Linked DNA regions of Diceros bicornis minor. The protein of the gene in region 3 binds, or shares a complex with, the protein of the main gene of each other region. Links are inferred from orthologs where the notes say so. Each region holds a gene or a part of one and is shown on either strand. Other genes may lie near its edges. The genes, in order: MTA3, MTA2, CHD5 and CDK2AP2.

Evidence for each region.
Region 1: CHD5 (region 3) and MTA3 share a complex: the UniProt entries of both Homo sapiens proteins name them as parts of the nucleosome remodeling and deacetylase (NuRD) repressor complex. The link is inferred for Diceros bicornis minor from reciprocal best matches to the Homo sapiens genes CHD5 and MTA3.
Region 2: CHD5 (region 3) and MTA2 share a complex: the UniProt entries of both Homo sapiens proteins name them as parts of the nucleosome remodeling and deacetylase (NuRD) repressor complex. The link is inferred for Diceros bicornis minor from reciprocal best matches to the Homo sapiens genes CHD5 and MTA2.
Region 4: CHD5 (region 3) and CDK2AP2 share a complex: the UniProt entries of both Homo sapiens proteins name them as parts of the nucleosome remodeling and deacetylase (NuRD) repressor complex. The link is inferred for Diceros bicornis minor from reciprocal best matches to the Homo sapiens genes CHD5 and CDK2AP2.

Annotation. Positions count from the first base shown.
Region 1 is NC_080751.1:42,198,899-42,206,781, reverse strand, and holds the start of MTA3 (metastasis-associated protein MTA3), read left to right. Parts: upstream 1-4,867; 5' UTR 4,868-4,892; coding exon 4,893-4,920; intron 4,921-6,140; exon of another isoform or gene 6,141-6,155; coding exon of another isoform or gene 6,156-6,204; intron 6,205-6,608; coding exon 6,609-6,676; intron 6,677-7,883. UniProt on the Homo sapiens protein: Acts as a component of the histone deacetylase NuRD complex which participates in the remodeling of chromatin.
Region 2 is NC_080770.1:10,491,548-10,498,808, reverse strand, and holds the start of MTA2 (metastasis-associated protein MTA2), read right to left. Parts: upstream 3,005-7,261; 5' UTR 2,556-3,004; coding exon 2,528-2,555; intron 1,793-2,527; coding exon 1,725-1,792; intron 1,356-1,724; coding exon 1,262-1,355; intron 1-1,261. Other genes in the region: EML3 (echinoderm microtubule-associated protein-like 3), read right to left, coding at 3,566-3,769, 3,854-3,984, 4,268-4,366, 4,896-4,983, 5,116-5,213, 5,285-5,373, 5,924-5,991, 6,448-6,579 and 2 more. UniProt on the Homo sapiens protein: May function as a transcriptional coregulator. Acts as a component of the histone deacetylase NuRD complex which participates in the remodeling of chromatin.
Region 3 is NC_080752.1:26,264,527-26,272,202, forward strand, and holds the start of CHD5 (chromodomain-helicase-DNA-binding protein 5), read right to left. Parts: upstream 3,011-7,676; 5' UTR 2,990-3,010; coding exon 2,911-2,989; intron 1-2,910. UniProt on the Homo sapiens protein: ATP-dependent chromatin-remodeling factor that binds DNA through histones and regulates gene transcription. May specifically recognize and bind trimethylated 'Lys-27' (H3K27me3) and non-methylated 'Lys-4' of histone H3.
Region 4 is NC_080770.1:6,041,521-6,047,922, reverse strand, and holds CDK2AP2 (cyclin-dependent kinase 2-associated protein 2), read right to left. Parts: upstream 2,484-6,402; 5' UTR 2,115-2,483; coding exon 2,033-2,114; intron 2,027-2,032; exon of another isoform or gene 1,891-2,026; intron 1,718-1,890; coding exon 1,617-1,717; intron 1,529-1,616; coding exon 1,396-1,528; intron 1,029-1,395; coding exon 961-1,028; 3' UTR 509-960; downstream 1-508. UniProt on the Homo sapiens protein: Acts as a component of the histone deacetylase NuRD complex which participates in the remodeling of chromatin.

The DNA.
Region 1 (7,883 bases), on a different chromosome or scaffold from region 3:
GTTCTTTTCCTCTTCCCTCCCCCACCTCACTCTGGCTGCTTTTCTAGAGCTGGGAGCAGAACTTGCTGAGAATTTTACTCCCTGGCTCTTAGGAGATGGTCAGCCCTGGGCATTCCCCCTTGTCTTTGCCATCTGTCTTGGTCAGTGACTTGTGTGGCTCGCTGCCCATGCCCTTCCTGTTTGCACATTTGGACCTGGACTCTGATCTCCTGAACCCAGACCTGCTAAACCTGTTTTCGCCCAAGCTGAAGGACTCAGGGAACCTGCTTCTTCCCCTGGGGCCAGGGTTTGGCATACTTCTTACACAAGACAGGCTGGGCTCTGTGCTGATGGTAATACAGAAGACGGTACTTCTAGCCCAGATGTCTCTCCTAAACTCCAGGCCTGTTCATCTACCTCTTTCCTAAAGAGGAAATACTTACCTGGATGTTTCCAAAGGCACCTTGAACATAACCCATCTAACACTAAACCTGTCAACTGTCCTTCCTCCCCCAGCTTGCCTCCCCTCCCATATTCTCTTCTTACTGAATTGTACCTCTCTCCACCCAGTTACTCATAACTTGGTACTACCCTTTCACTCTATGCCTCCCAAAAGTCACCAGAGCCTGTCGCTCCTACCTACTAAATCTCTCTCAAATCTATTTACTTCTCTCACACCCCACTGCCTCTACCCAAGTCAAGCCATCATCCCTCTCAACCAACCTCCCAACTGATCTCCTGGCCTGGATTCTCCACCCTCTCCAATCACTCTCTTTGCTGCAGCCTGAGTCATCCCTTCAACATCTCCCATTGCCCCTTAGGATTCTTGTTCCTAATCCCAAACCCTATACTGCCCGGCCATCTCATTCAAATCCACAGCACTCCATAGGCTAAAAAGGGAAGCACTAATGTCAATTAGATCAACCTTCTAGGGGTTCATCCCTGTCCCCCTTGTGACTTTCAGTCCCTTTTCCACTATCTGGAGGCTATGTTGTCACTAGAAAAGGAAACTCCTTGTGGATGCAACCAAATGGCTGAGCCAGCATGAGGGCATGAGGGGACCATGGAATCCTAAAAAACATACTGTAAAAACCAGGACATTCTGGGATTGGTCCTAGGTTTCATGTTTTTAGCCCAGGGGACGGAGGGAAGAAGAAGCTCCATGAACTGGGGAAGTTACGAACTCCTGACTCTTAATTTCCTTTGCCTTACGGGCTCCCTTGCTTTGATTCTTGCTGTCACGTGCCCACCTTTCTCCTGGGATACATTCATCCACCTTTAAAACCCATGACCTCCTTAGAATAGCTGAAACACGCTGTGGCTCTTTTCCAAAAGAATTTTACTAAATAACAAAATAAGTTAATGAAAGAAGAAAAAGAGAGAGAAACAAAACAGAAAACACAAGCTATAGTCTCTTATCCAAAGCCTGGCATTTGGTTTCAGATTAATTACATTCTAGACCCCCAGGCTCCTTTTGTGAGTTCAATATCACAAAGCTCCCAGACTCTGTGGCCAGCCCCATCTTTTTTTTTTTTTTTGCATGTATAAAAACTCCATCCTGAAATTGAAACAAAACCAACTTTTTATCTTATCAATAGCTCTCTTGCAGCATCTACTTCCCTTCAGCTAAATGGTGGGACACTGGTGGGACTGACACAGGGAACGTCCTGGGTCTTTAGGCAATCTCTAATCATGGTTCTTTAATCACAAGAGCCATCCCAGGAAATTTTACCCACGGGAGGGCTAGATTTGCCCTGATTTCTGACATGGTCTGAGAGACACTTCTTCCTTAGTAAGGAGGATGGCTGGAATAGAGAGAAGAGACCTATTAAGTATGAAGCTTTTAACATGTGCAAACACTTTATATATTTAATTATTAGCACAAGCCTTTGCTGTAGGTGTCAATCACTAGTCATATTTTGTAGAATTTGAGGCTCAGAGGGATTAAGTAACTTGCTCATGGTCTTAAAGCTAAATAGCCAAATTAGAGTGAAGTTTGGGCTGGTTGACAACAACTTTGTGATCTGAACCACACAGCATAAGGACATGAAGGTGCTTTTGCCTTCTTTGAAGGTGCAGGCTTTTCTACCCTCCCTTGTCAGATTGGAGGGTTTCTTTCAATCTACAAACATTTGCTGAACTCCCTTATGTGCATACCTCTTTGGTTTTATTTTATTTTATTTTTTTGTGAGGAAGATCAGCCTTGAGCTAACATCCATGCCAATCCTCCTCTTTTTGCTTAGGAAGACCGGCTCTGAGCTAACATCTATTGCCAATCCTCCTTTTTTTCCCCAAAGCCCCAGCAGATAGCTGTATGTCATAGTTGCACATCCTTCTAGTTGCTGTATGTGGGACGGCGGCCTCAGCATGGCTGGAGAGGCGGTGCGTCAGTGTGTACCCGGGATCCGAACCCCGGCTGCCAGTAGCAGAGCGCGTGCACTTGACCGCTAAGCCACGGTGCCGGCCCCTCCATACCCTTTTGGTTTTAGAAGGTATAAATGTTTCATAAACAAAGTCCTTGCATTTAACTCTGCACCTGATTCTCTAACTATACTGAGCCCACCATTCATGGGCACTTATTCTTTCTGATATTGAGCATCTGCTATGTAGAACACATTGGCCCAGGAGCTGGAGGTGGAAGAGGCTAACTAACTACACAGAATCTAGAGGAAGAAAGCGCCCCAGGTTCTGCCACCATCATTACCTCTGGCTCCTCCCCACCAAGTCTCTGAGGCCTTTCATGGGGGGCTTCTGGATGAGGCTGTTCCTAAGGGGAGGAGGTAGGTAGGGATGGGGGGCATTTTCTTGGCACCTTTTGCCTATTTATTGTGGTTAGTACAGCCATCACAAACACCTAGTAAGGTGCACAAAGCTGGGGAAATGAGACAGGCAGACAAGGAACTAACAGAAATACAGAAATATTTTGAAATAAAGAAATTGCTCATATATTTAAAAATAATGGGAAAACCCCTTAAAGCTTATGATCCATTCCTTTGCAGTTTATGGTATCCAGGTGGCTTTTTCACTTGGAGAAAGGCTTCCTGGTTTAAAGAATTCTAGGCCAGAGGAAAGGGCTGAATTATAATCCCAATACTGCTGCCAGTTTACTGATGACTCCAGGTGAATTATTCAACCTACTTATGTGTCAACTCAGAAATGGAGACAGTGATGTCAGATATGTCACAATATGTTTTTGGTGGGATCTCTAGTAAAAGGATTATGATAAACAACAACTATGCAGTGTGCATAACAGAACATTTTTGCTTTTTTCTCTGGGTCAAAAGAGCTAACTGATGCAGGCTCACAATTTGACACATGACATAAAACCCTTGAGAATCTGAACTTTCTGGAGTTAAAAAAAAAAAAGCAACAGACACCTGTTATTTGCATAGTGCTCTATGCTGAATGGTTTACAAAGCATTTTGAGATATTGTCACAACTGATCCTCACCCCACCTGTGAAGTGGAATTAGTGTCCCCATTTTATGGATGAGGAAATTTGGGTCACACACAGTCAATCAAGGTAATTCAAACAAAGGTGCTTTATTTCTTATTTTATTTTGTACTTTGCCTCAGCTTCATAGAAAATTATTTTTTTCACCTCAATAATTTGTGATAAGGGACCATCACAAATGCCATCACCATACAAACAAAATACAATCTTCTTTTCTAGGGACACCTGCCATCCCTGCACAGACCCCACACCCAGTGTCAACAACACATAGTTGTAAATCATCAGAAACTCCAAACAACGCACAACAACAATAAGGGATCATCTTCATGTTTAGTATACAACGTCTGGGAGTAGTTTAAAACGGATTGGCTTCTCTAAAGAAAGTTGTTTGTGTTCATTTGGGGGACAGCCAGCCAAGATTCAACTCTATTTGGTTTTTTATTTCTGTGAGGGTATGAAGGCTGAGAAAACAGGGATTGTTTAGAGAATTAGCATGGGAAAATAATAACTATTTAAAAGCTTTGGGCACATAACCAAGTTAACTGTCCAGCAATCAACAGCAAGCTGGTTGACACTATTTTCTCCTTTGGGGGGTGGTGGTGATGATGAACTGTAGGGCTCTGTTCCCCTATGGGCAAAGGAAGACCCCCCCCACCCCGTTTTCCTAGTAGGGCTGCACTGCATATAGGGCCTGTCTAGAGGCAAGGCCTCCAGCTGTAGGGGAGCGGGTTCTGTTCAGCCATTTGGGGTGAACGCTGATAGACATGGCACTGCAGTTAGGGTAGACTTGAAAGGGAGGCAGTTTTTCTAGCCTCCTCCCCAGCTGGGTCTCTGCCTGGGGAAGCTGGAAGCACCTGGGGCCCCCCTGGCCCCACTGTATTAACATCACCACGAGGAAGGCGCCCTGCGGCATGCACTTATTTGCATCCAAGTGTTTGCACCGAGACAGGCACTCACGTGCTCAAGGTCACACATACTGAGTCTCCCCAGGGACAGAAGCAGGGAGAAAGACCTGTCTCGGGGTGGGCAGGTGTCGGGGTACGCTGGGTGGGGCGGTAGGGGCTCCGGAGAGGCTGAGCTCTTGCCCCCAACCCAATTCTCTAATACCCCTGGTCCGCATTTCCGAGCGCGGGCCTCCGCTTCGGCCAGGACCCTTGCCCTAGGATCCCCCCCTTCCAGCAAGGCCCCCCAAACCGCCCCCCTCCCCAATTCCCTGCTGGCCCCGCAGCGCTCGGACTTCCCCGGGCCCGGCCCACTCGGCCTCGCTAGCCCGGCGCTGGGGGCGGGCACCTGCCCCCACCCCTCGCCGTCCCCTCCCCTCCACTTCCCCCTCCCCTCGTTCCCTCCCTCCCCTCCCCCACGTGGCGAGGCGGCGGCGGCGGCGGCAGCGGCGGCGGCCGAGGCTGAGGCGGCGGCGGCGGGCGGGGCTCGGCTCGGGCTCCGCGGGCGGGCGGGCGGACATGGCGGCCAACATGTACCGGGTCGGAGGTAGGAAGGCTCGGCCCGACCCGGCCCGTCTGGGAGCGGGCTCTGGGAGTGGGGGGTTGGGGCGAGTTCACCCTAACCGCAGGGAGCCACGGCGCCCAGGCTGAGGGCGCAGGGGAGGGGGGGCGCCGGGGCCCGCAGAGGGGGCCGGGGCTCCCCACCCCGCCACCCTGCACTCCCCCCTCCCCCTGCCCCCTTCCCCCCACCGTGGCCCGCAAGGGGCCTGGCCCACCCACACCCCCACACCCGCCCAGTGATTTAGGGCCAGGCCTGTACTTGGGGGTATGAATTATCAGACGCCCCCCTCCATGAAAGCCCCATGGGGGTAGGGGCCGTCGAGCCCCCTAATAGGGTGGTCTTTCCTGCGTGGCTTCTAGGCAGTGGGGGTTGGAGAGGATGGGGGACATCCCCCCATCTTGTACTCCTCTCCTTCAGTGGGAGTGTGGGGTGGGGGTGGGGGCGATGGGGGCCCAGCCAGGGGCACAGCTGGACAGGCCTGTTTGCGAGGACAGGGCCCTGCACCTCTCCTTCCTCACTCTCTCTTCCGTTTCTTATCCAGCCCCCCAAGAATGGGGCTTAGTGGGGCCGGGGCACCGCAGCCGGAGGTGGGGAGTTGAGCTCTGCCTGGACGTTTGCTCTCCTGTCTCCCTTCTTCTCAGCCTTCTGCAGAAGAGAGAAATAAGGTCAAACAAACTTTCTCCCTAGTCAGGACGCCCTCCTCCCTCTTTCTTGGTAGAATAATAATTCAGATAAGTGGCGTGTTTGTGTGTGAGACTTGCTCTTCCTTCTCTGCTCATTAGCTGAGCTCCTGATGGATGGTGGTGGGAATGGCCTGGCTAAATGAGGCCACTTTGCAGAAGAGAGACGGGAAAGAGCCACTAAGATAGACAATAACAATGCAGCCCAGCCTCTCAAATGCACAGTGGGAAGTTTCCAGTGAGCCTATTAGATGAGAGGAAAAGCTACACTTGAACATTTTTATCCTTTTTGTTGAAAATCTGCAGCGATTTCTTTATAACAAGACCCCAAATGGATCTGGATTAAATATGGTAAAAGAGTATTAAACAGATTCTGATGTCACTTCTAGAGAGCTCTGTCTCTCAGAAAGTGACTCCCCTTTCCCCCTTTTTTCCCCTCGTCTTCCTAGATAGAGCTGTGGAAAAGTTTGTCAGTGTGCTTCCTCTTACCTGCTCTGGTCACCTGATTTTTTTTTTTTTTTTCCGAAGTTGGTGATTGAAATGTACTTTGGGCTCCTAAGCCTTTCAAGATGCTCTGAGTCTGTCTTAGGTCAGTAGTTTTATGTGAGAAGCATACTCCAGGGCAAATTGGATTGGATGGAAAAGATGTGGAAGCAGTTACAGTATGAAAGACACATGTTTAGTCAGCCCTGACTACTCAATGATGATAAGAGGTGTCTTTTTGTTTGTTGTTAAAGAAATGACATGTGTGGGACAAAAGTCTAGGAGAACTTGATAAAACATTAATTGAAATGAAAATGCCAGGAAAACCAGAATCTGTGAATAGTGGGCACATAGGAGAATATTTTAAGGTTGCATTACTAAGTTTGCTTTTACCAGGGAATGAATTACATACTTCATTTTGAATGAGAATTGCCTAATATAAAAAGTCAGAGATTGACAAATGTGAACTTTTGTTGAAAAGATTAAGCTCTTTACTTCCTTAAATTGCAGATTATGTCTACTTTGAGAATTCCTCCAGCAACCCATACCTAATCAGAAGGATAGAAGAACTCAACAAGGTATACACTTAGTGTTCTTGATTCTAATATTAAAAAATATTTGTTTTCCATTGAAGGGTAATTGGGTAAAGGGCATTAGAAGTGATTTTACTTTCTGTCCCAGACTTTTTGAAAGTAGAGATTTCAGATTAGAGAGAGTTATGCAGAATTCTGAATATTCTTTTGCTTTTTATAATTACCTCTGATATTAAATGTTGTTATTTAACGTGTAGATTTCTTCAGATTGCTTAGAGCTTCTCAGAGCAAGTCACTCCTGTAACTCAGTCCCTTTTTATATTTAGAGTCATAATTTGTATTTCTCCCTTTTTAGTGAATTAATTTTTTCCTCTTCTAGCTTTAGAAGGAGGAAGCTAGGAAATATAATATTATTAAAGGGAATTTGTAAAATTCTGGACTAGACCAATAAGAATACAATTTTAGTTTAGTATAAAATGACTTCTACCTTAGGCCCAAGTAAATAAAACTCTTACATTAAAGTTTGTCCCTGATCACAAGTGTCCGGGACATTAGAAGCATTGTGACTGTTTGCAGTAGCTGAGCTTTTACAATGGAGGCACTCAAAAAGGGTCATAAATGACATGGACCATAGATTTCTTTCTTTTTTTTTTTTTTTTGTGAAGAAGATCAGCCCTGAGCTAACATCCATGCCAATCCTCCTCTTTTTGCTGAGGAGGACCTGCTCTGGGCTAACATCTATTGCCAATCCTCCTTTTTTTTCCCAAAGCCCCAGTAGATAGTTGTATGTCATAGTTGCACATCCCTCTAGTTGCTGTATGTGAGACGCGGCCTCAGCATGGCCGGAGAAGCGGTGCGTCGGTGTGCGCCCGGCATCCGGGCCCGGGCCGCCAGCAGCGGAGCACGCGCACTTAACCGCTAAGCCACGGGGCTGGCCCAAGACCATAGATTTCTAATGACGCTCTGGTTTCCTCCAAACCACCTTGAGGGTTATTTGTGTAGTTTATGAGAATTCATAGTGTTAAAATGTTTGGGGCTGTCTAGTTAATACCTTTCCCCCAAAATACCATCTGGAGACTGGTCCAGTTATAAGTCCTGGGAAGCCAGGTCTGGCCAAGGACATTCCTCACTTATGAGCCTTAAGATCTTGGTTTGCTTCTGGGGATACCCCAAGGACCTTGTATTTTAAAAACTTCTGTAGTATTTGAGACCATCACCAAATGAAGAGAATGACCTCAGGATTATATCAGTC
Region 2 (7,261 bases), on a different chromosome or scaffold from region 3:
ACTTGTCTCTTTCTTGCCAAACCAGCCTGAGGTCCAGAAAGTCAATAAGATGACAAAATATCACACAAGGTTGTGTTTACCAGTTCCTTTTTTCAGATTTCAGGAGACTCTTTGCTCTTAAACATCACATGCAATCCTAACTATCCCTCACTTTTTATTTGGCTAATAATAGTTTGTGTGGGGGGCTTTCAAGGATAGTACCTCTCAAGCCAGTGCCAACACCTTCCTCCCCAAGGAGCTGCAGCTTGCCCTGAAACCTCAGTGCAAAGGGTTAACCTGGCTGGGCGCCAACCAAAGTGGGAGGGGGCAGAAGAGCCACAGGCCAAGGCTCATTGGTGCATTGTTCCCAACCTCAGGGAGAAGGGGGGTGTGCAGCAGGCTCCACCCCTCACTGTATGCTCCGGAAACCATGTACGAAAGCAAGGGGGACCACACCCCCCACACCCCTTCTGATTGGACAAGGCCAAGGTCAGCCCCTGCCAGATGAGGCTGGAAACCCCAGAGGGCCAGAGAACTTGGTAGGCCCAGCTCCTCATTAACCCCTTCATGCCCAAAGCAGCCTGAAATAAGGAAAATAATTTAGGAAGAAGGAACAAGAGGAAGGGGAAAGAAAAAAGAAACTAAGGAAAACTGAAGGAAATAAATTTTTTAAAAGAACATGAAAGCATAATGAGAAGAAAGATTGGGCAAAGGGAAAACATAAAGATGTAAAATGGAGTAGAAGGGAAAACAGGAGAGATGAGAAACAGGAAAAAGTGCAAGAAAACTTTCCTAGCTTCCTCTTCTCTGCCTTCAATGCATTCTCACTATCTCGTGATCACAAAATAAGCCTGCTTTCCTGTAAAGCAGGCTTCTAGGTACAATCTCTTCCTCTTCACCTTGACCTTCAGTCACCACCCATTGTTCCAACACACCCAAAACTGTCCCCCAAGGGTCCTTCTTCTCTAAAGCTCTTCCTCATCCCCTATTTAAATACTATCATCTCCTTTACACACACCATTCATATATACACACTCACATACAAGCCATATTCTGGCTTTTCTTATCATGGTCTCTCCACTCTGCTTCCAACCCCAACGTGTAAAAACAAGCCTCCCTCCAGGCCTCCCTCCACAGCCCAGGCATTTCCCACCCCCAAACTCACACCCCTGCCTTGGGCATTCTACCAGGGGAAACACCTGCGGGGACATGCCCTGGCCTCAGATCACGGGGAGGGGGAGAAAGGGGGGCCGGGATGGGGTGGGGGTACCAAGACACTCACTGGCATTACTATCAGCCAGGCTGTTGAGGCTACTAGAAATGTCTCTTCGCCGGAAAAGGCACACAACCTTTGCCTCCACATTTCCATTTGCAGTCTAAGGGGGAAAAATGGCAGTGAAAACTGGTCATTTGAAAGTGAAAAGGCACAAAGAGACTAACAACAGTGAATAAGTTTCTAAGGGATGTAAGTAGGAAAACACAAGAAATTATGAATAAGGAGACTTAGATTTAAGGACAGACTTCCATATCCCTTTCCTTAGGCCCCAAGAAATAGAAAAGTAAAGTTCCCACTAAGCTCTCAATAGCCTTTCCTGAATACATCGAATGAATGAATGAATGAATGAATATGAATGGGTACTTAGAATAGGGTCCTCTTTCTTTCTCTCTGTCTCTCTTCCACCCACAGTTAGAGACCTCAGAAGAAAGAGACCACTTGCGGGGGAGGATGAGACTGCTCCACTCACCTTGTTGAGCTCCTCAATCCGTCTAACCAGGTAAGGATTGCTGGAGGAGTTCTCAAAATAGACGTAATCTGTAGGAGGGGGTGGGGAAGAACCGGGAAGATCAGAGGAGGAGATGGGAGAGCCAGAGCACCAGGGGAGGAGGAGAGAAAGTAGGCCTGAGTGGACCAAAAGGCGATGAGAGTCCAGGTAGAGAGGGCGCTGAAATGTGGAAGTGGAGAGTCTAATAAGCGACGCCAGCCCCCGACGCCTAGCCACCTAGTTCTAAAATCAGATCCTTCACTCAAAAATGAGCCTTAATGAACAGACCAGAAGCAGAGGGTTCCCCCTGCAGTCCCCACAACTCGGAGATCGAGTTGCACCCCAGTCTCGGCGAAGCGAGCAATTGTTCCCTCTCGCTCAGCGCCCCCACCTTTGCGACCGAGGCGCACAATAACGCCTGGGGAGAGGAAACCGCCCGGCGGCTCCCCCGCAGGTGGCAGAGCGGTCGCCGGCCCTTCGCGCCCCCTGCCCGCGCTGTCAGCTCCCTCGGAAACACCTTCCCAGCCCCACTCCCCGACCCCGTGGCCCCAGGCGCGGCCCCGCGAGTACCGTCGGGGCGGCCCCAGCCTCTCCGCGAGTCTCGGCGCCCGGCCGCGGCGCCGTCCCCGCACCCTCGCTCCCCGCGCTCCCGGTTCCGGTTCCGGTCCGCGCTCGGGACCACGCCGCCCCAGACGCGGCTCCCGCGCCGCTGGGTGCCGAGCCTCCCCGGTCCCGACCCCGACCTCTCCCGTCCGGGCCCCGCAGCCCCTGCGCCCGGTACTCACCCCCCACCCGGTACATGTTGGCCGCCATGGCCGTTCCCGCCGCCGCCTCCGGCCGCACAAAGGGGTCTGAGCGGCTCGCGGGGACGGGGCTCGGCTGGAGGCGAAGTCCCGACCGCGGGGCTGGCACTTCGCGGAAGTCTCGGTCGGGTCCGCGCAGCCGGCACCTCCGCCGCCTCAGCCGTCGCGGTTCATCCCGGCCCGCGCTGTCGCCGCCGCCGCTACCGCCTCACGCCCCAGACGCCGAGGCCGGCGCCGGTCCGCTCGGCTTCTTCCGGAACGAGCTCGGCTCCCGCCGGACCGGAGCCAGGCTCCGGCTCCCCCCGCCCCCGCCAAGCCCCACCAGACGCTGGGCTCTGCCAGCCCCGGGGAACGCTTGCCCTGCCCGCCTCGGGGTTCGCCTCCTTCCGGAACACTTTCGGCCGAGCCGGAGAACAAGGCCGGGCGCTCGGCTCAGGTCGGAGAGCGAGACCCCACAGATCGGCTACTTCCGGAAGAGGTTCGGCTCCGTCCGGCCAACGGCGGCCCGGCGCTCGGTTATTTCCGTTGCAACTCGGCCCCCCCTCCGAGAGCGAGAGAGGAGTTGGGCTTAACTCTCTCCTCGCCGGAGCCCTGCAGCTCCGCCTGCGGCCCGAAAGACTCGCGCGCCTTTGCGGTTCGCCAAGCTATTTGCAAGCAGCTTTGCCTGTTATTTGCATGAATAGTCTACGCTCTCTTACCCTTTCCGCACTACCCTTTTCCTTCACCGCCACCCCCGTAGGGCCCCAGAGGCGCCCAGCCGCGCCCCACAAAAGGACTGGGAGGTGACTTTGCTTTTGGTTTATTGCCCCTCAGCAGGCGGCGGGAGCCAGGGCCCAGGCTGGGGCTGCCCGGCTCAGCCAGCGGGTCTATACAGTGTGTGCAGGAGTGCCGTTCTCCCCCTCCAGGGAAATGCGCGATCGGGAATGTCTCGAAGTCGAGGAAAGGGTCGGCCCCTGGTCCTGGGGTACTGGGGTGGGGCGGGGCCACGTCGCAGGGCCGGTGGGTCCCGTCAGGCGGCGGTCACACGTCGAGAGAGGAGGCGGGGGACAGGGACGGGGTTCGAGAAGGGGTGGCGGGCGTCGGCCCCGCGCCCCCGGCGCCCAGCACCCGCCACTGGAAGATGCTGGCGTCCTTGCCGCCCAGGGAGACGAGGTGCGAGTCGTCGTGCGTGAACCGGACGCTAGTCACGTGGCTGCCGTGGCCGCCGTACACGAGGCTTGGCGCCTGGGCAGGAGGGAAGGTGGAGTTGCGACGGCCACGGAGCCCCGGGCCCGCCCGCCCGGCCCCGGAGGCCCCGGGAGGCCTCACCTTGGCGCGCGCGCACGGGTATTGGAAGAGGTGCACTTTGCAGAAGTCGTCGGCCACGGCCACCACGCGCTCGTTGTGGGAGCGGCACAGGGAGTTGATGTCGGTGCCATCCGAGCCGTCCGGCCACACGCCTAGCACAGCGCCTTGCCTCAGCCCGGCCTCCTCTCCGCCGCCACCCACGGCCCACAGCTGCACCGTTTCCGGCGCTCAGGCAGCCGCGGGGCCACCCACCGGCCGCGTTTCAGGCAATCCTTCCCGGTTCCTCGGGGCCGGAGGGGCCTCCTGGGCTGGCTCTGCCAGTTTCTCAACCCCCACCCACCCCTCCACACACACCCAGCATTCCGAGCCTGGGGCGCGCTGCACATTGTCCCCCCGCCGTCCCGCAGTGTTCCGCGCCCCTGCACCCCTGCTCACCGTATACGTGGAAGCCCAGCACGCAGGTGTAGGTAGCCCACTCCCGGTCTCGGCTCTCATAGCGATTCCTCAGCAGCTTGCAGCCTCCAGCCACGTCCCCTGGGGAGAGGGAGCCCACCCAGCTGAGCTCTCATCCTGCCCTCAGTTGGGAAGATGCCCAGAAGGAAACACTGGCTTGAGGCGGTGGCATGTGATCTGGTCGCCACGGTAGCCCCCAGCCCAGGGCAAAACCCAGCCCCCCCACGTGCTTCCTGAGTTCTCGCTGATGTTTTCCTAACAGCTTCTGTCAGTTCCTCGTCCATAGATAAGTCAATCCCTCCACACCTGCCCTGAGCAACTTTTCCAAAACAATCTTTTTAGTGCATTTTTCAACTCCCTCAAGTCTTTGTGGGAACAAGACATGGTGTAAACTCTATGTGTGGTTTTTTCTCCAAATCACAAAATTTCTCCTATGTGTATACCTCCAACCCCCCTTCAATGCCATCTCCACCTCCCTATGTAACAGCCCCTCCACCTGGGGCTCCCCACATATTCTCCTTCATCCCCTCCCAACCAGGAGCCCCACACACACACAAATAAAACCCACCCTAATTACCCTCTCCCCATGCCCTCCCCTACTGCCACTCACAGTAAAGGATCTCATAGTCCCCAGAATTGGACATGATGAAATTCCCATCCTTGGACCAGTCAAGGTGAGTGATGAAGCTGGAGTGACCCTGGGAGCAAGGGTCAAGAGACTAAAAGTGTAGCCACCATTTCCCATCCCTCGGCCCCACTTAATGCATTTGACCCCTTTGAGGAGTTTACCTGCTATGGCAATGCCCCACCCTCCACCCCAGCCTCCTCACCACACAGCGGCCAAAGCGGCTGGACTTGGCACCATCACTGGAAACACTATAGATGTAGATCATGTTGTCATGGGAACCGATGGCCAGGTACAACCCATCTACAAAGACAGTCACTCAGAGAGGGAAGGACCAGGGATGGGTCTGGATCCAGGGTAGGGGTGGCTCCCACCTGGGCTGTACCGGACCACTGAGAGCTGCTCATTGCCATCGGTGACATCGGACACGATCTCTCTGGTTTCCGTGTCCAAAACCAGCCACCTAGAAGGGGGGGGGGCGGAGAGCAGGTGTGAGGATACCCGTCCTGGGCAGGGTGGGAGTTGGCAAGTTGGAGAGCCTCAGGGACACCCACAGAAACACCATGATGTAGACAGAGAGGTCACCACTGCATTCTTATGCTGAGAAATGGGAGGGGGCTAAGGGCAGATAAAAGCTGAGGGGCTTCTGATGTCCTCTGGGAAAGGAGTACAGGGGCCCAATGACAAAGTCCTTATGGAGTCTATACGCCTGTCACTTCCCTGTAAGCCTGTTAGTCTCCCCTATGCCCCTCCCATCCCCACTGCTTCTCTATCCTGAGCTGCCACCTCCTCCACTCCCAGGCTTGGAGAGGAGAGTGGCTGGGGGAGGGTGTGATGACAGTTGCCACAGGAGAGCAGGGGAGGCCTGGGCGGCACCGAGAAGCACTGAGGAGCAGGAAGGTGCAGTTGGGGCTCCTGAGCGGGCAGCAATCACGCTCCTCCACCCCGCCATTACCAGGAACCCTTCCCATACCTCCTGCTTTCCCCTCCCAGGGGTCCTGGCTCCCTCTCACCTCCCCGTGTTCAGTCCTACAGCCACAACTGCCCCACTGGGATGGAAGTCAGCACAGAGACCAGTCTCCTGGGAGAGGGGAGAAGGTGAATTCAATAAGATGCCTTTCTAGTGAGGTAACCAAGAGGGACACCTTGTCATCTTGGTAACGTCGAAGCCTCCTCCTCCCAAAGAGGAAACGGGAGGAGAGGGCGAGTAGACCTGGGGTGGAAGCAGGGTGTCAGTGGAGCCTAAACAGGGGGTAATACTCAAAATATTTAACAACCAGAACTGAGGCCCGTAGCTGTGCTGGAGATTACCCATTTGTTGCTGGATCAAGGGGTGGTCTGGAGGGTTGAGGTGGGGGCAGTGCCCAGGGGGCACTGGAGGCATCAGCAAAGAATGAATGTTTTAGCCAGTACAGCCATACCACTACAAACTGGCTGCCTCTGGAGAGCAGAAGGTAAGGGGATGTTGGGGAAGGACTGGTGGCCACAGGAGTCATGGTGGGTGTGGCATTGGGGATCCAGGGACACAGGGCTCTACCTTGAGGTCAATGCTCCAGGCCAGCGCATGGCCCTCCCCATCCCACAGGCAGAGCTGCCGGTCATGGCCGCAGGTAAGGAAACGGTTCTGGAAGGGATGTGTGCAGAGCCCCCAGAGCTCATCCGTGTGGCCCTGTAGCAAAGCGTGGGCTGTCACCTCTGCCCCTCCTCAACAGCTCTACCCTCCCTCCTTCCCCGAGCCCTTGGCCCCCCGACCTGGATCACAGGGGAGAAGCCCTGGGCCAGATCTCCCCTCAGCAACGCATTCTTCGTGGTTCCCACCAGCAGCTCAGAGCCCAGCCCCTCAGCAATGGCCCGCACGGCCCCAAAGTGTTCAGGAATCTGCAGAGTGGTGGCAGAAATTCAGGCCCACTGGCCATTCCTCTTCCCCTTCCCTCCCTTGAACCCAGCCTAGCCCTCACCTCAGCCTCCTGGAGGGCCACCAACCCGGGCCCCCACTGTACCAGCCGGCGGTCCCGCCCACCACCACTCAGCACCGTCCCGTCCCGCCGGAGACACAGGGCGAAGATGGAACCTTCGTGAGCATGGGCCTGAGCCACAATCCCGTAGGTCTCTGTTGGCAAAGTCCTGGGTGGGTTATGCTCTTGGGGTGCAGGGAAGTGGGGAAGAGGAGCAGCCTAGGCTGTCACAATAGAGTAATAACTCCCAGCTCTTGAGTGCCTACTGAATACTGTCTCTGATCCTCAGCCTTTATTCTCCCGTTTACAGACTAGACAACTGAGGCTCAAAGAAGTGAGGTAACTTCCTAAAGGCCAGACAACCAGCGGCAAAACTAGGATATGAACCCAGGATCT
Region 3 (7,676 bases):
TGGGAGACGGGGCAGAGTGAAAAGAAAGTCGATTTGACAAGTAACGAGTGCAATCTGCTGCAGATTTAAAAATGAGCACGACAGTTCCCAAACACTAGCTCCTCCGCCCGCAAACTGTGATGGTTTGGAACCTGCTGGCTCTAGGTCCAGTCGGGTCACAGCCTCGAACACAGGCCGAGGGCTGCAGAGCGGCTGCAATGGAGAGCTAGGGGGCCAGCTGGCTAGCACTTCAGGAGAGACACAAGGCCTGGGCTGAGGCTGTCATCGTGTCTGGGGGCCAGTGGTGACCTAGAGACTCCTAGCCCTCAGACACTGAGACCACAACCATCTCCTGAGCACCCACGGTACCATGTGCCAGGCACGGCAGGTGACCAAGGGAGTACACTCGAGGGGGAGCCCATCGACACAGAAGTAGGCTGATGGTAATATTCCAGGTAATAGGAAAGGCTGCCAGGAAAATACAGCATTAAGATGGGTCTGAGGGCGACAGGGGTGGGGCCACCCTTGAGCCAGGAGGTCAAGGAGGGCCTCCCCTTGGTGACATTTGAGCTGGGACCTAAACCACAGGAAGGAGGCAGCTGTGAGCGGAGGAAAGAGCAGGTCAGCAGAGGTCACAGCCAGTGCTCAACGGCAGGATGCTTTGGGGGGTTCTAGAAGCAGCAAGGAGGCCAGTGTGGCTGCAGTAGGTGAACAAGGGGGAGTGGGGATGATGAGGGCGGGACAGAGCAGGAGCTCTGCAGTCAATCAAAGCCATGGGGGTCTGGGTCTGATTTACAAAGGTGACCTGGCTGCTGAGTGGAGGCTGGTCATTGAGGACTGGCTGGGAGCCTCTGGAGTGGACCAGCAGAAGGGGACGGTGGCTTGGACCAGGCACATGGAGAGGAGCTGGGAGCTTGAGAAGGCTCAGATCACACTCTGGAGGTGGAGCATCTGGTCTTGCTGAGGATGGGGCTGCAATCCCTAGGCCAGAGTGGCCGGAGCATGGCCCTCCTCTGCAGGGCTTTGGGGGCATTCCTAGAGGCCCTGGGGACAACCTCACCCCTACCCTGCCCTGCCCCGGAGCAATGGGCACAAGCAGGAGGGAGAGGGAGAATGGGTGGTGAGCAGGTGACTTTGACCAAGACCCAAGCCCTCTGGCCCAAACAGGGTGAGTTGGGGGCCCATCAGCCTGGGGGTACTTTCCCTGGCCTCCTCCCCTCCCCACGCTCCACACCCTGACACCACTAGGGAGAGCCAGAGTATGTGGGAAAGAGGGACAGGAGACCCCATCAGGGGGCCGGTGAAGTTCTGGAATAAGCCTGTGAAGGCATGTCCAGTGCCCCTATCGTGCCACAAAGGGGCCGTGCCCAGAGTACCACTGGAAACCACCTGCTGAGGAAGCAGTGAACGGCTTAGGGAGGAGCCAGCCTCCTGGGTGGAAAATAGCCACGGGTTTCCATGCCTGTGCTGGGCCTCTGTGTTCCCTTCCAGGGAAATGGGCCTGATTCCCTGGATCTGGATATGTAAGAGTCAACTATTGTCCAAGCAACCCCACCCACGTGGGGCCGCCTCAGCCCCACTCCCCTCACCCCAGCAGGAGCTTTGCAAAGTTGAAAAGCAGGGTGTCTGAAAAATGGGGTGAGGCCAGGCTCCTGCAGGGCGGCCATCACAGCCTTAAAGCAAGCAACCAAGTTGAAGGGTGGCGGGGAGGAGGCCCTCCTGGGCCTGGCCTCCTGGAGGGAATCCCCTAGCTGGGAAGACCCAGCAGCCTGGGGAGCTGCTGCCCACTGGGTCCTCTCCTTCTCACCTCCTGCACACAAGAGTTGGGATGCCAATTTGTGGAATATTCTCCCCCCTGTGGAAGGCACTCCTGAGACCAGACAGCACACTTCTGGGCCAGGGAGGGCCCCTGGATCTCCCACAAGTCTCTAAGGAGCCCAGGAGGGCCCACAGATTTGGTGCAGGGAAGCTGAGAAGTAACACAGTCCCCCAGAAGGAGGGAGGGAGGCTGGTTGACAGGGTGAGGCCCTGCCCAGCTGTGCCAGGAAGGGAAACGTCCCAAACAAATGGTGAGCAATTAACTAAAGGATGATCCTGCAAGGTTACCCCTGACACACAAGCCCTGTTTACGCTGAATTCTGAGAGGGATGGCAAGGGCAAGGGCGGTGGCCCTGGGCTCAGACCGATAGCCAAAGCGGAGTAGGCTGGGAACGCCACTACCTTGGTCCGTCTCAGGCTGGAGACGGCGGCGGGCGCTAGGGTGTGCCAGCACGACGCCGGCGGCCCAGGCAAAGTGCTTGGGAGCGGCGGTCACAGCACTCAGCGGCCGGGGAAGGGGAGCGGGAGTCCGAGCCCGCGCACCCCGGCCTGTAGCCCTCGTGGGCCCAAGAGAAACCGCCCCAGCCAGGGCCCTCGCCGGGTCCCCAAGCACGGCCCGTCCTCGCCCTGCTCCGGGCCCCACCCAGCACGCCCTGGAGCCGAGATGGGCCAGGGACCGGGGGCCGGGTCCCGCCTGCCCCCGGAAGGCCAAAGGCGCCCGGCGGTAGGGCCACAGCGCGGGGTGCGCGGCGCCAGAAGCCGAGCGCGATTCCCGCCCCCTTCAAGGGCACGAGGGCTGACCCCGGCGGCGCCGCGCCCCCTCCCCGCCCGGGGCGCCCAGCGCAGGCCCCCCCGCGGTCCTCCGCCCGCGCCTGGCCCGCGCCGCGGCCAGGGTGGCCCCGATCGCACCCCGCCTTTGGCCGCCGGCGTGCCGCGCCCTGGCGCTCGCCTACCCCGCGCCCTTGGCTGCGCGGCGCCAGGAGGGCGGCAGCGCAGCCCGGGCGCCCCCTCCCGAACGCTGCCAGTGCCGCTCGCGCGGTCCGGCCCCGGGGTCCCGCCGGTCCCCGCGCCCCCCGCCGCCCCGGCCCGGCACGCAGCCGGCGCCCCGCTCACCTGACATCTCGTCCTCGTTCTCCATCTCGTCCGCAAACAGCCGCGGCAGCTCCTCCTCGGTGCCCAGCGGGCCCCGCATAGCCGGCGCGGGGGGGAGGGGAGGTGGGCGCCCCCCCTCCCGCCGGGCGCGGTGCCAGCCTTAACCCGTGCGCTGCCTGACGGGCGCGCGCGGCGGGCGAGGCGGCCTCGGCGAGAAGATGGCGGCCGCCTGCCCCCCCACCCCCCCAAACCTCCACCCCTCCGTCTCGACCCCCTTCCTCTCGGCCGCCTTTGCCCTGCTCCCCGCAACGCCCGGGCTGCTCCGCCCACCGCGCCCCGCAGCCCGAGTCCCGCAGCCGGCCGGGGGTGGCGGCGGCAGCGCCGGCGGCACGGCGGGGGGGGCGGCACACATGCCCGGATTGTGACGTCCAGTCTGGTTGCTGTGGCAACCCCATCCCATCGTTCCGGCAGTGCGACTAGTTAACAGCAGAGAACAAGTTGGGGGACTAGTCCTGAGCCGCCGGGTGGAGGGTGGGGGACAGGGCGCTCCGGCCGGCGGAGCCGTCGAGGCGCCGGCGCACCCCGGGACCCGACGGCCGAGCAGGCAGCAGGGACTCGGGCGAGCCGGGCCCAGAAGGAGGCGGGGAAACGCAGAGCCTGCCGCCGCCCCCGCCCGGAAGGCGCTCGGCCCAGGGGTCCCCAAGGGCGCGGAGGCGGGGTCCTCGGGGCGGCGAGCAGCTAGCTCCCCACACTCCGCTCACACGCACCGGGACCCTCGCCTCCCCGCACCCGGCTCCGGTCTGAACACGCTTCTAATCACCTTTCGAAAGAGGATTATAAGAAAAATGTGTTCCGCGCTTGAGGAAGGGCTGCTCTGGAGACAGCGGGTCTGATTCCCCCAGAAAAGTCCGTGCAGACTGGCTCCTCCCTCACCCCTTCGCACCCGGCTCCCACCGCCCACGTGCCCTCTTCCAAAACGCCCCTCCAGGCTGGGTCCAGTTTAAACACATCCAGACCCCTGGGGGTGGTGCAGATCTGCGTTCTCTGTGCCCAAAACTCCCGCTCAGAAGCGACACCTGTCGCGGAGCGGGGAGGAGCCGCCGCCAGCCCTCCGTTGTTAAAGGTGAAGATGGAGCCCAGAGCCCTCGGGAGCGAGCCTGGAATTTTAAATGAGCGCCTCCAGTCTCGGCTGCAGCACGTCTTAAAGCTACTCTTAGAACGCAAAAGTTTCAGCGGCCGGCAGGATAGCCAGCGCACTAACCTAGAATAACCTAGAATGGCCAATAAAGGGAGGGTACCCTCACCTCACTGCCTCCAGCCAGACACATTCAAGGGCAGCGGGCTGATCCCCGCGCTGGAGCACCACGTGGCTGCCAGGGACCCGCAGGATCTGCCTGAGTTGGGACGCCAAGAGGAAGCAAGGGGAAGATCTCCCTCCTGTCTAGCACCAATCCCTCAGGTCTTGGCTGAGCACCTGCCCCATCCAGGTGGCGTTCACCAGTACCCATGCCACACTGGTATCGCCAGAAGGGCTCTCCCTTTCCTGAGGCCTTTGGGGAACCAAAAGAGTCACGCCTGCTTGGCCAGGGCCCTCATGCAAGACCTCTTGGGGAGGTTGCCACAACTCAAGCCACAGTGAGTCCAAGGTAATCAGAAGGTGATGGATGGCCTCAAGAGTGCTGGAAAGATGTGTAGCAAATTTTTCCTCCCCCTTCCCATCCAAATGAATTGCCAGCAAGCCCCCAAAAAAACTCCTCTTCATTCATTGCTGGGCAAGAGCAGGTCTGTCCAGCCTCCAGGATCACAGTGCAGGGCGCTGGGAATCTCCTTCATCTCCTGGATCACTTTTAAACTACATTATAGAGAGATGTTGAACCAGCCCAGGGCAGACAGCCTACAAGGGCAAAGGGAGGCGAACTAAGAAAGCAGAGAGCTTCTCGCGTCTAAGGCTGTACTTCACATCACTGGGCTTCTGGCTGAGGGGCCCCAAATCACCGCCACTCTGAGAGGCCTGCATTTTCACCAGCAAGACTGCCTTGCTCTTTCTGGACTTTCTGTCTTCCAAAATGTCAACCATCCAGGAAAAAACTCTAAGTGCCACCAAGCATGCCCACCTCTCAGTTACCAGCCCAGCCCCCAACCCCTCCCAGATGGGGGGATGAGGTCTAGACACTTGCACAGGTGCCCTGTCCCACTCTAGAGAAACTGTGACTTACAGTACTTCCCATCGCCAGAAAGCCCCCCACCACACGCACACACCATTAACCTTGGCTCCAATTCCCAGGGCAAGGCTAAGAAAGGCAAGACATCACTCAAGAAAGAGCAGTTCCAGCTGCTTAATTTGGCAACAAATTAGAGTTGAGATGCTCATCACTCATACTCCTCTCCCCATCCTTGTTCTTGCCGGTGGCTGTGGCCAGGTGACATGACTTACTGACCACAAACGAAACAAAACCAACCCTGGAATGGCAGAAACAAATGGATTTTTGACTAGAAATTTCCACCAGTATTTAAAGGAGAACTGTTAAACTATTAAATGTGCACTTTAATGACAATGGACCCCCAAATGCCTGATGTTGAAAGCAATCCCTAAAAAGATAAAAATTCAACAAACTCTGCAATTCCGAGAACAAGTCTATCATTAAGGTTAGAGTTTTAGGAGACAAGATTCTCATGCTTGCTGAGCACAGACCTTGTAATTTCACCTCAGTGACAATTCAAAATCAAAATATTTTTAAAAAATATATTGGTTATGAAAGCACCAAGGAAAAAAGGGTTTTCCGAGAACAGGGCTGCAATAGCTGGTATCTTCAGCACATACCCCACTCAACTCCGGAATCTGTCACACAGGCACCCCTTAAGTCCTGCCTGAGGCCGGTTCCTTTAGCAATATATCCCAGTGTGGCCACCTGATGGCCCTGACATGACCCTAGGCTTCTGCAGTGAAGTGCTTGTTCCTACACCCCTCCCAGCCAGTGCCCTGGGGTGAAAACTCTGCAGCCTCTCATCGGAGATGGGGGAGACTGTCACTCGCATGGTTGCAGGGTCCTCTGAAATGAAGGGTGAGCGCCCCCTGCCCACCAAGACCTCCCTTGTACTTGAAGCCTGTTTCTCAAAGCAAGGGCCATGCCCCACCTGAATCCAAATCTCTTCCGGTTGCTGGGAATGGGGGGAGGGGCTTCTCAAAAAGGCAGACTCCTGGCCATGGCCCTGAAGCGAAGTACTTGACTTCAATTAAAGCATCTTAGAGGTTCTTTCTGGGAACTGTGGTAGCAGCTAACTCACTCAGCTGGTCAGCGCAGCCTTAACAGTTTTAGGAAGGCCTGAAATAGCCTAGAAAAAAGAATGTGGATTCTCAAATCCTCCCAAATATAGGAAAGATAGGAAAATGTCTGGATTACAAATTCTTAATTTTTCTTCCCTGAGATAAACACCATTATGGCATCATTTAAGAGGCAGCCCTCCACCTGCCTCCTTCCACACCACCTCCTTGCTAAGATGGCAAATCCCCCAAACAGGCCTCTTTCCTACCTTCCTCTCCCTCCAGAAAGAGAAGTGACCTCCACAGCGTATTACCGCAAAGAACAGAGGCCCATTACCGGGATTCAGCCAACACCTCCAGCAGGAGACTACCCAGGTCCTTTTCCCTCGGGGTGGCTTCTGACCCCTGCCAGCCCCGTGTTCTGAGTTTATCGAAAGGCAGGTCTGTCTGCTTGGTCCTGCCAAATCTGTGGTTGTCTCGTCAGGACCCCACATCCTAGGTGTGTGTGCCCCTCACAGGGAGGGGCCAAGCACCGGTCTGCTTCCAGCACTCGATAAGGTGGCGGGGGTCACCAGAAGTCACAAGGACCTGGCAGCAAGAGGAAGGAAATGAAAGCAAGCTGCCAAAGCCAACTTGCAGGCTCTCCTGAGGCTACGAGCGACTTGACCAAGGACCCGTCACCGCTCACTGGGGTCCTGCTCACCCTCCAAGAAATCATGTCCCCTAAAAAGGCTGAGGTCTAAATACCCCAGAACATTCTGTAATTTTGACCCTCTTAAATATTTGATATGATTAAACTCCGCCACTTTCCTCCGTTTCTGACACAAATGTTTCTCAACACCTGTGCTAGGCACCACTGGTGAACAGTTAGGACCTCTTCCTGAAGAGCTAAGAGGATGACATGACTTAGAAAAGAGCACAGTTTCACCCCTGAAAAAGCCATGGGAGAAAGGGGTCGCTGAGGCTTTAAGGAAAAAAAACAAATATTTAGTCTTCCGACAGAGATGGTATGGATCAAGCCAAGGGAGAGATGGTGTTGGTAACCAGAGCCAGCTGAAAACGAGACTGTACCAACTGCCTATTTCACTTTTATGAACTTAAATCTCAGCTTGAAACTCTCCATGACCCAATCCGGTCCTGTGCCTTGAATATTTCAGATCTGGCAGGTGGGCCACGAGGCAAGACAGATAAAAATGAAATTGGTCTAAAATGGGGTTCAAGCACAGCTGGTGTAATGGGTTTAACGGGACTCAGGTTCACATGACACATCCCCCATCACAAAAAGTCATTTGTTTGCAAAGTTATCCTCCTGGCTCTGAATCTGAAGAAATTCTACATGGAGAGCTCAGTTACAGTCAACTCCAGAATCTCACTGAGGCACAGCAGCACAACTAAGGTGAAAAAATGGGAACAAAGGACACATTTTTTTCTCAAGCTTAATGAAAACCAAGGTCATTGTCGGTACAGCAATTAATCAGTGAGGACAAAATTTTTGTTGCTGAACAGATTAACATGCCAATGCTTT
Region 4 (6,402 bases), on a different chromosome or scaffold from region 3:
GGTGGGAGGGCAGCACCAGCGCCCCCTCCCCTCTCTAAGGAGTCAGAGACCGTGTGTATTCAGAGCCTCCCAGGGCTGATTCCAAATTTAGGATGCTGGGGCATTAAGGCACATGAGGACATAGCTTAAGTGAAAAGGCTTTTCCACCCTGCCAGGCATCAAGGCCAATCCAGAGGATCTAGGCCCAGGCTGGTGACAGTGCCCGCCAGCTGTGGAGGCAGCCAAGGCCCTGCACTGCCCCCTGGTGACACCACGTGCAGGCAGGCAGGGCTCTGAGCTACTGGAGCTCAACTCTTTCCACTACTTCCAGCTGGGAAGGCTGAGGGCCAGAGAAGGGCACGGTCCCACCCAAGGTCAATGGACAGCAGGGGCAAGGCTAACTCAGCCAGCCTCACTCCCACCCACTGCACTGCCCCTTCCCCCTCTCCGGGTCTCCTCTTGCCCTCTTTCTTCAAAGCCCACCTGGGCTTAGCAGAAGCACCAGACTCAAGGATTATGAGCTGAGAAAACAACTCCAAATTATCTTTTATTTATACAAAAAGGGGATATTTAGCAAAAGACACACTGAGAAAAGAATCACTATGGCCCAGGAGACAAGGCAGGGAGGTGACAGGCCTTTCGAGGCCCTGCTGGGAGAGAAGGGGTCTAGGAGAAGTGGGGAGTCCTGGGCAAGTGCTGAGTGATGGGGGCCCCAGAAGGGAGAAGGCTCCAGTGGGATCAACACTGTTGGCAGGTCATGGGTGAAACTCACGGTGACCTCGCTGCTAACTCTTGTGGGGGTCCCACTTAGTGCTGCCAACTGGAGTGAGAGCTGCCCCCTGGTTCCTGGAGGACGCCCACCAAGGGACACAGGACAGGAAGCCCAGGATGGGAAGTGCATCTCGGGGTGAAGGCCAGGGAGAAGGAGGCGCTCTGCAGTGGCCGGGAAAGGTCCAGATGCCGAGGTGGAGGTGCGTCCTGTTACGTGCGGGCGTTCCGCTCTGTCTCTGCCAGGCACTCTCTGACTAGGGCCCGGGCATGGATGATGCCTGGGGTGGGGATGCATAAGTAACATCCAGGGTCTTGATCTCCACAGTCCCGCCCCCACCCTCCAAAGGAAGACCCTTCTCTCTGCACCCCCTTTCCTTTCAGTAAGAGGGATGATAATCTAAAGAGGAGCTGGATGAGATTAGAGGTTTGGCTAATCCTCAAACTTGCCCTGTTGAAATACAAATTCCCTGGTCCTTCCCTGGAAATCGACTCAATTTCAATTCAATTCAAAATGCCTCTCTGGAGACTGATACTGGCCCTGGTCTAGGCTTGGCTCTGGTGGCCCCCAGATGTTCTTCCTTTCCTAATGAAGGAGTGTCCAGTGTGAGTCTCCTGGGCAGCGGGGGTGGGCGTGGCCTCACTTACCTCTCTTCAGGCGCTCCATGGCGCTCTTGCTGCCAGCATAGGTGGGCCGGATCTCTTTGCCCATCTCCTCTATGACCGACAGCAGGTCTGTGTAGGTGCTCTGGGAGCCCTGGGCGCCAGGTGGCTTCATTGCCTGTGTCAAAAGAGGAACAGGGCAGTGAGCTCAGGTCCCGAGGGGGCCTCCAGTCCCCATCCACAGGCAGTCCCTCGGCCTCACTCACCTGCACATAGCCCATGGAAGGCGGTCCAAAGTCGTTAAACAGTGGTCTGAAAGGGGCAGCGGCTCCCGGCACCGAGCCCGACGGCGATGGGACACTCCCAGCTGCAACATGCGCGAGTAATTTACGAAGTCAGTGCGGGGCAGGGACACCTCCTCCCAGCGTTCCAAGCCCCCGACCGGACTCGCCCGATTCCCTCCAAAGAGATGCTTCATTCCAGGCTGCTCAACTTCAGGGACAAATCCCTCCCCCCTGCGCTCCACCAACAAGCCCTTACGTGACGACGCCCACTTCCCAGGCCAGCAAACTGAGGCTCAGCGAAGGTAGGCGGCAGGCCCAGTATTGCAGAACTCAGGCCGTCTTCTCTTCCAGACCTCGACCGCCCGGGCAGGCGAGCAGGGGTGGAGCTGGGTCCTCACCTGTAGGAACCGGGGTGCCGGGCCCAGGGGTGCTGGAGCCGGGGGTGCTGCTGGGGGCGGGGGCGATGGGTTTGTAGGACATCCCCAACTCCTGGGTGCGGCGGACGCCGGCCGGCCGCTCCTCCGGGGTTGGCTGCCTGGCCGCTCAGCCGCACTCTGATTGGTAAACCGGCTGCACGCCCCTGGTAAATACAGCTCAGGCCGGAAGGGCGGGCGGCCACGAACGCTCCCTCACTCCCGATTGGCTCACGGAGGTGTCACTCGGGCCTCCTCATTGGCCGAGACCGGCCCCAGCATGCCGCAATCGCTGCTGATTGGTCTCCGCCTTCCGGACCTCGCACCTGTCTGCTCCGGATTGGGCGGTGGCCGACGCCCTCGGCAATTGGCGAGTTCGCGGCCCGGGCCGGCGCGCTCTCAATCCGATTAGTCTCAAGACCCGAGAGGCGGGGCCTCGGCAGCCCGGACCAGGGTCTGGTCCGCCCGGTCCGCGCCGAGAAGGTCTTCCCGGGCGCCGGCGCCACCCTCACGCTTCACTCGCGCTGCTCCGTACGTCAGCTTCGCGCCGCCCGGTCTCGGTCCAGCTGGGGCTGCTGTCGCTGCCGACACAGCCGAGCGCGCCTTCCCTCCGCTCCGGGTGGCGGAGGACGCAGGGCTTTGACGTTCCGAGCCCTGCGCTCCACCCCGTGCGCTTTTACGTCACCTTTCACCGGTGCGACACCCGGTCCCCGATCCGCGCATGCGCTGTCATGAAGCCGTCGTTTGTTCCCATGGCAACGGGACCCTCACCAACGCTACCGCCGCGCCTCTTGCTCCCAATTGCCTTATCCTCATAGGCTGCTGTTAGGTCCAGGGGCGACCTCGAAGACCGCAACCTGCCCCCCCACCACGGCCCCACGCCCGTGCCTCGCAATGACCGTAGCAGGAACAGCTGACCTTCGTTGATTACTGACTGCACGCCGGGCCCTGTACCAAACGGATCATGGACAGGAGCACCGACCGGAGTCGGACTGAGGGTACGAATCTCACACCACCCCCACCAGCGATTTCCTCCTGGACAAGTTACTCATCTCGATGTGCCTCGGTTTCCCCATCTGTAAGATGGGGACGCTAATAACTATCTCACAGGGCTGTTGTGTGGGTTAAATGAATATTCATAAAGGGCTTATTGTTTCATTCTCCTCTTTCCTATCCGTTTCTCCACCCAGACCCCTCCCCTCAAATCTCATTCCTCACAACTCTAGATCTTAGACTCTGCTCCAAACACTAATCCTTTCTCCCAGGCTACTTCTCCCCCAAACCTCTCTAGCCTTGTGTATCCTTCATGCCCCCAGGTCTGTAGATTATCCTCATCCCCAGGACATTTATTCATTCATTCATCCAACAAACATTTTCTGACTCCATCCTCCATCCCAGGCTGGACACTGATGATACCGAAGTGAACTGGCATGGCCTCTGTCCTCAAGGAGCTCCTAGTCTCAAGGAGAGAAAGGCAGGGAAGCAACGGCTTCCCGTACACAGCACAGTAAGACAATGTGGAGACTGGGACAGTGCATTGGAACTCAGACGAAGGGACTCCCTGGTGACATCACAGAAGTGTTCCCAGAGGAGGTGGCCTTCAATAGGTGAATGGACAAACTGTGATATATCCATATAATGGACTATTGTTCGGCAATAAAAGGAAATCATTTATCCAGCCATGAAAAGACACAGATAGGCATATTGCTAAGTGAAAGAAGCCAGTCTGAAAAAGCCCCATACTGTATGATTCCAATTGTATGGCATTCTGGAAAAGGCAAACTTACACAGAAGGTAAACAATTACTGGTTGCCTGGGGTGTAAGGGATAGAATTGAATAGGTGAAGCATAGGAGATTTTCTTTAGGGTGGTGAAACTATTCTGTATGATACTGTAAGGGTGAATACAAGACATAAGCATTTGTCAAAGAGTAAACTTTAATGTTTGCAAATTTAAAAAATCATTTAGGAGGCCAGGGGATCCCAGGATGGAATGCAGACTATGACAAAAGAATCTAGCTGTATTACAAATATATGAAACGGCTTCACTGAAGGGAGTGGAGGAATAAGGTGGGAATCTGGAAGTGGCTGGAGTCTGTAAGAATAAAGACAAAAGGGACTGCACAGAGCACTGTACTCTAGTTGATGAAGTGGCTCCGGTGGGGGTGGGGGTAACAATGCTGAAACCACTGCGCATGTGCACAGGAATTGAAAATTAAGTAAACGTAGGGTGGATGATTTCTCACTGTTGGAATAAGAAGTTACAGGTAAGCAAGGGGAGGAGGCTAGAATGATCCATGTGGTAATGGATTGGAGTTGGAGACATCAATATGAACTCATGTTTAGCTTAATGTAGATACAGTTTGGTTGCATACAGAAATATTTAAAAAGGTATATATACGTAGGTTAGTATATACACATATCTCCTCACTCTATCAGCTGAAAGTCCTAGAAGCAACCTTGCACCCAGATCTTGGTTTCTAATACCATTCTCCAATAAAATGAACTAGAGTTCCTCGGAGAAATGGCTGATTCTAGGACTGGGGCAGGACATATACAAGATGCTCTTGAAGCATCTTGTAGTGCCAAGGGTAAGAAAATGCTAAAGAAAAAAACCTAAAAAAACCCCAAATCCCCAAACCCCCTAGGTGCTGGGGGTATGGCAAAGGGACACAGGAACAACTGCAAGCGCTCCCACTGACCAAGGCTGCAGCAATTTGAACAAAATAAATAAAATAGTGTTGAATTATAACTTGTATAAAATAAATATCTATGAGCCCATGCAGATAAAAATAAATGACTGACTGAATAAATAAATAAATGCGGGAGAAGAGAGAAATCTCCTGCAGGGAATAATTGCAAGTAATTGATGTAGCTACTCTGCCATTAATGAGGATTATAACCTCTCACCCCTTAAGTGTGGGCTGTGCATAGCGACTTCCTTCCGAAGAGTGTAGTATGTAACAGGAGAGAGAGAAAGAGTAATTTTACAGGACAGACCCCTGACAAACACGACCTCAGGCCAGGTGGTCAAGGTCAACATCAATGGCGAGATCATGTTGATAGCATGCACCCTTGATATGACGCGATGAGAAGGGCACTTTACCTCCGTGGTTTTCCTCCCCCAAATCCATAATCCCGGACTAATCATGAGAAAAACATCAGACAAATCCCAGTTGAGGGACATGCTACAAATACCTGACCAGTCCTCCTCAAAACTGTCAGGATCATTAAAAAACAAGGAAAGTCTGAGAAACCATCACAACCAAGAGGAGCCTAAGGACACACGATGCCTAATGTGATGTGGCGTCCTGGGGGGCATTCTGGAACAGAAGAAGGATAAGCAGGGGAAAACTGATGGAATCTGCATAAAATGTGGACTTTAGTTAATAATAGTGTGTCAGTGTTAGTCCGTTAACTGTGACAAATGTACAATTCTAATGTAAGATGTGAACCAGCACGACCATCCAGTGTGTTTTAGACACTGGGAGCATAGCAGCAACAACTGGTCTCATTGAAGCCACTCTCACTTCTCCCTCATGTGATGGTTAATTTTATGTCAACTTGGCTGGGTCACAGAGTGCCCAGACATGTGGTCAAACATCATTCCAGGTGTGTCCGTGAGGGTGTTTCTGGATGAGATTAACATCCACTGAACTGGTGGACAAAGTAAAGCAGATTGCCCTTCCCAGTGTGGGTGGGCCTCATCCAATCAGTTGAAGACCTGAAGGGGATAAAAAGGCTGTGTAAGAGGGAACTTCGCCTGGCTGACTGTTGAGCTGCGACATCAGTCTTCTCCTGCCCTCAGACTGGAACCTATGCCACCAACTTTCCTGGTTCTCAGGTCTTTGGGCTCAGACTGGAACTATATCACCAGCTCTCCTGGGTCTGTAGGTTGCTGACTGCAGATCGTGGGACTGCTCAGCACCCAGAATCACCTGAGCCAATTCCTTACAATAAATATCTTTACACACACACATATACACACAGACACACACACATTCATTGGGTCTGTTTCTCTGGAGAGCCTTGACTAACACACAGGAGAAGCTGGGTGTGGAGTATACAGGAGCTCCCTGTACTATCTTTGAAATGATTCTGTAAACCTAGAACTGTTCTAAAATAAGATAAGTGGATGTAATATGTTGATCTGGGTGACAGTTACCTGGGTGCGTGTACTTGTAAAAATTCATTGAGCTGTGCACTTAAGATTTATACACCTTACTGAATGTATATTATACTCAAACTATTTCAAGTGGACTTAATGTAAAAATCTGAATTTACAGCTTCTCTTGGAAAATCAGAAGATCTTGTAGTTCCAGCCTGCTCCAAATGGCAACAGTCAATGGAGGTGGG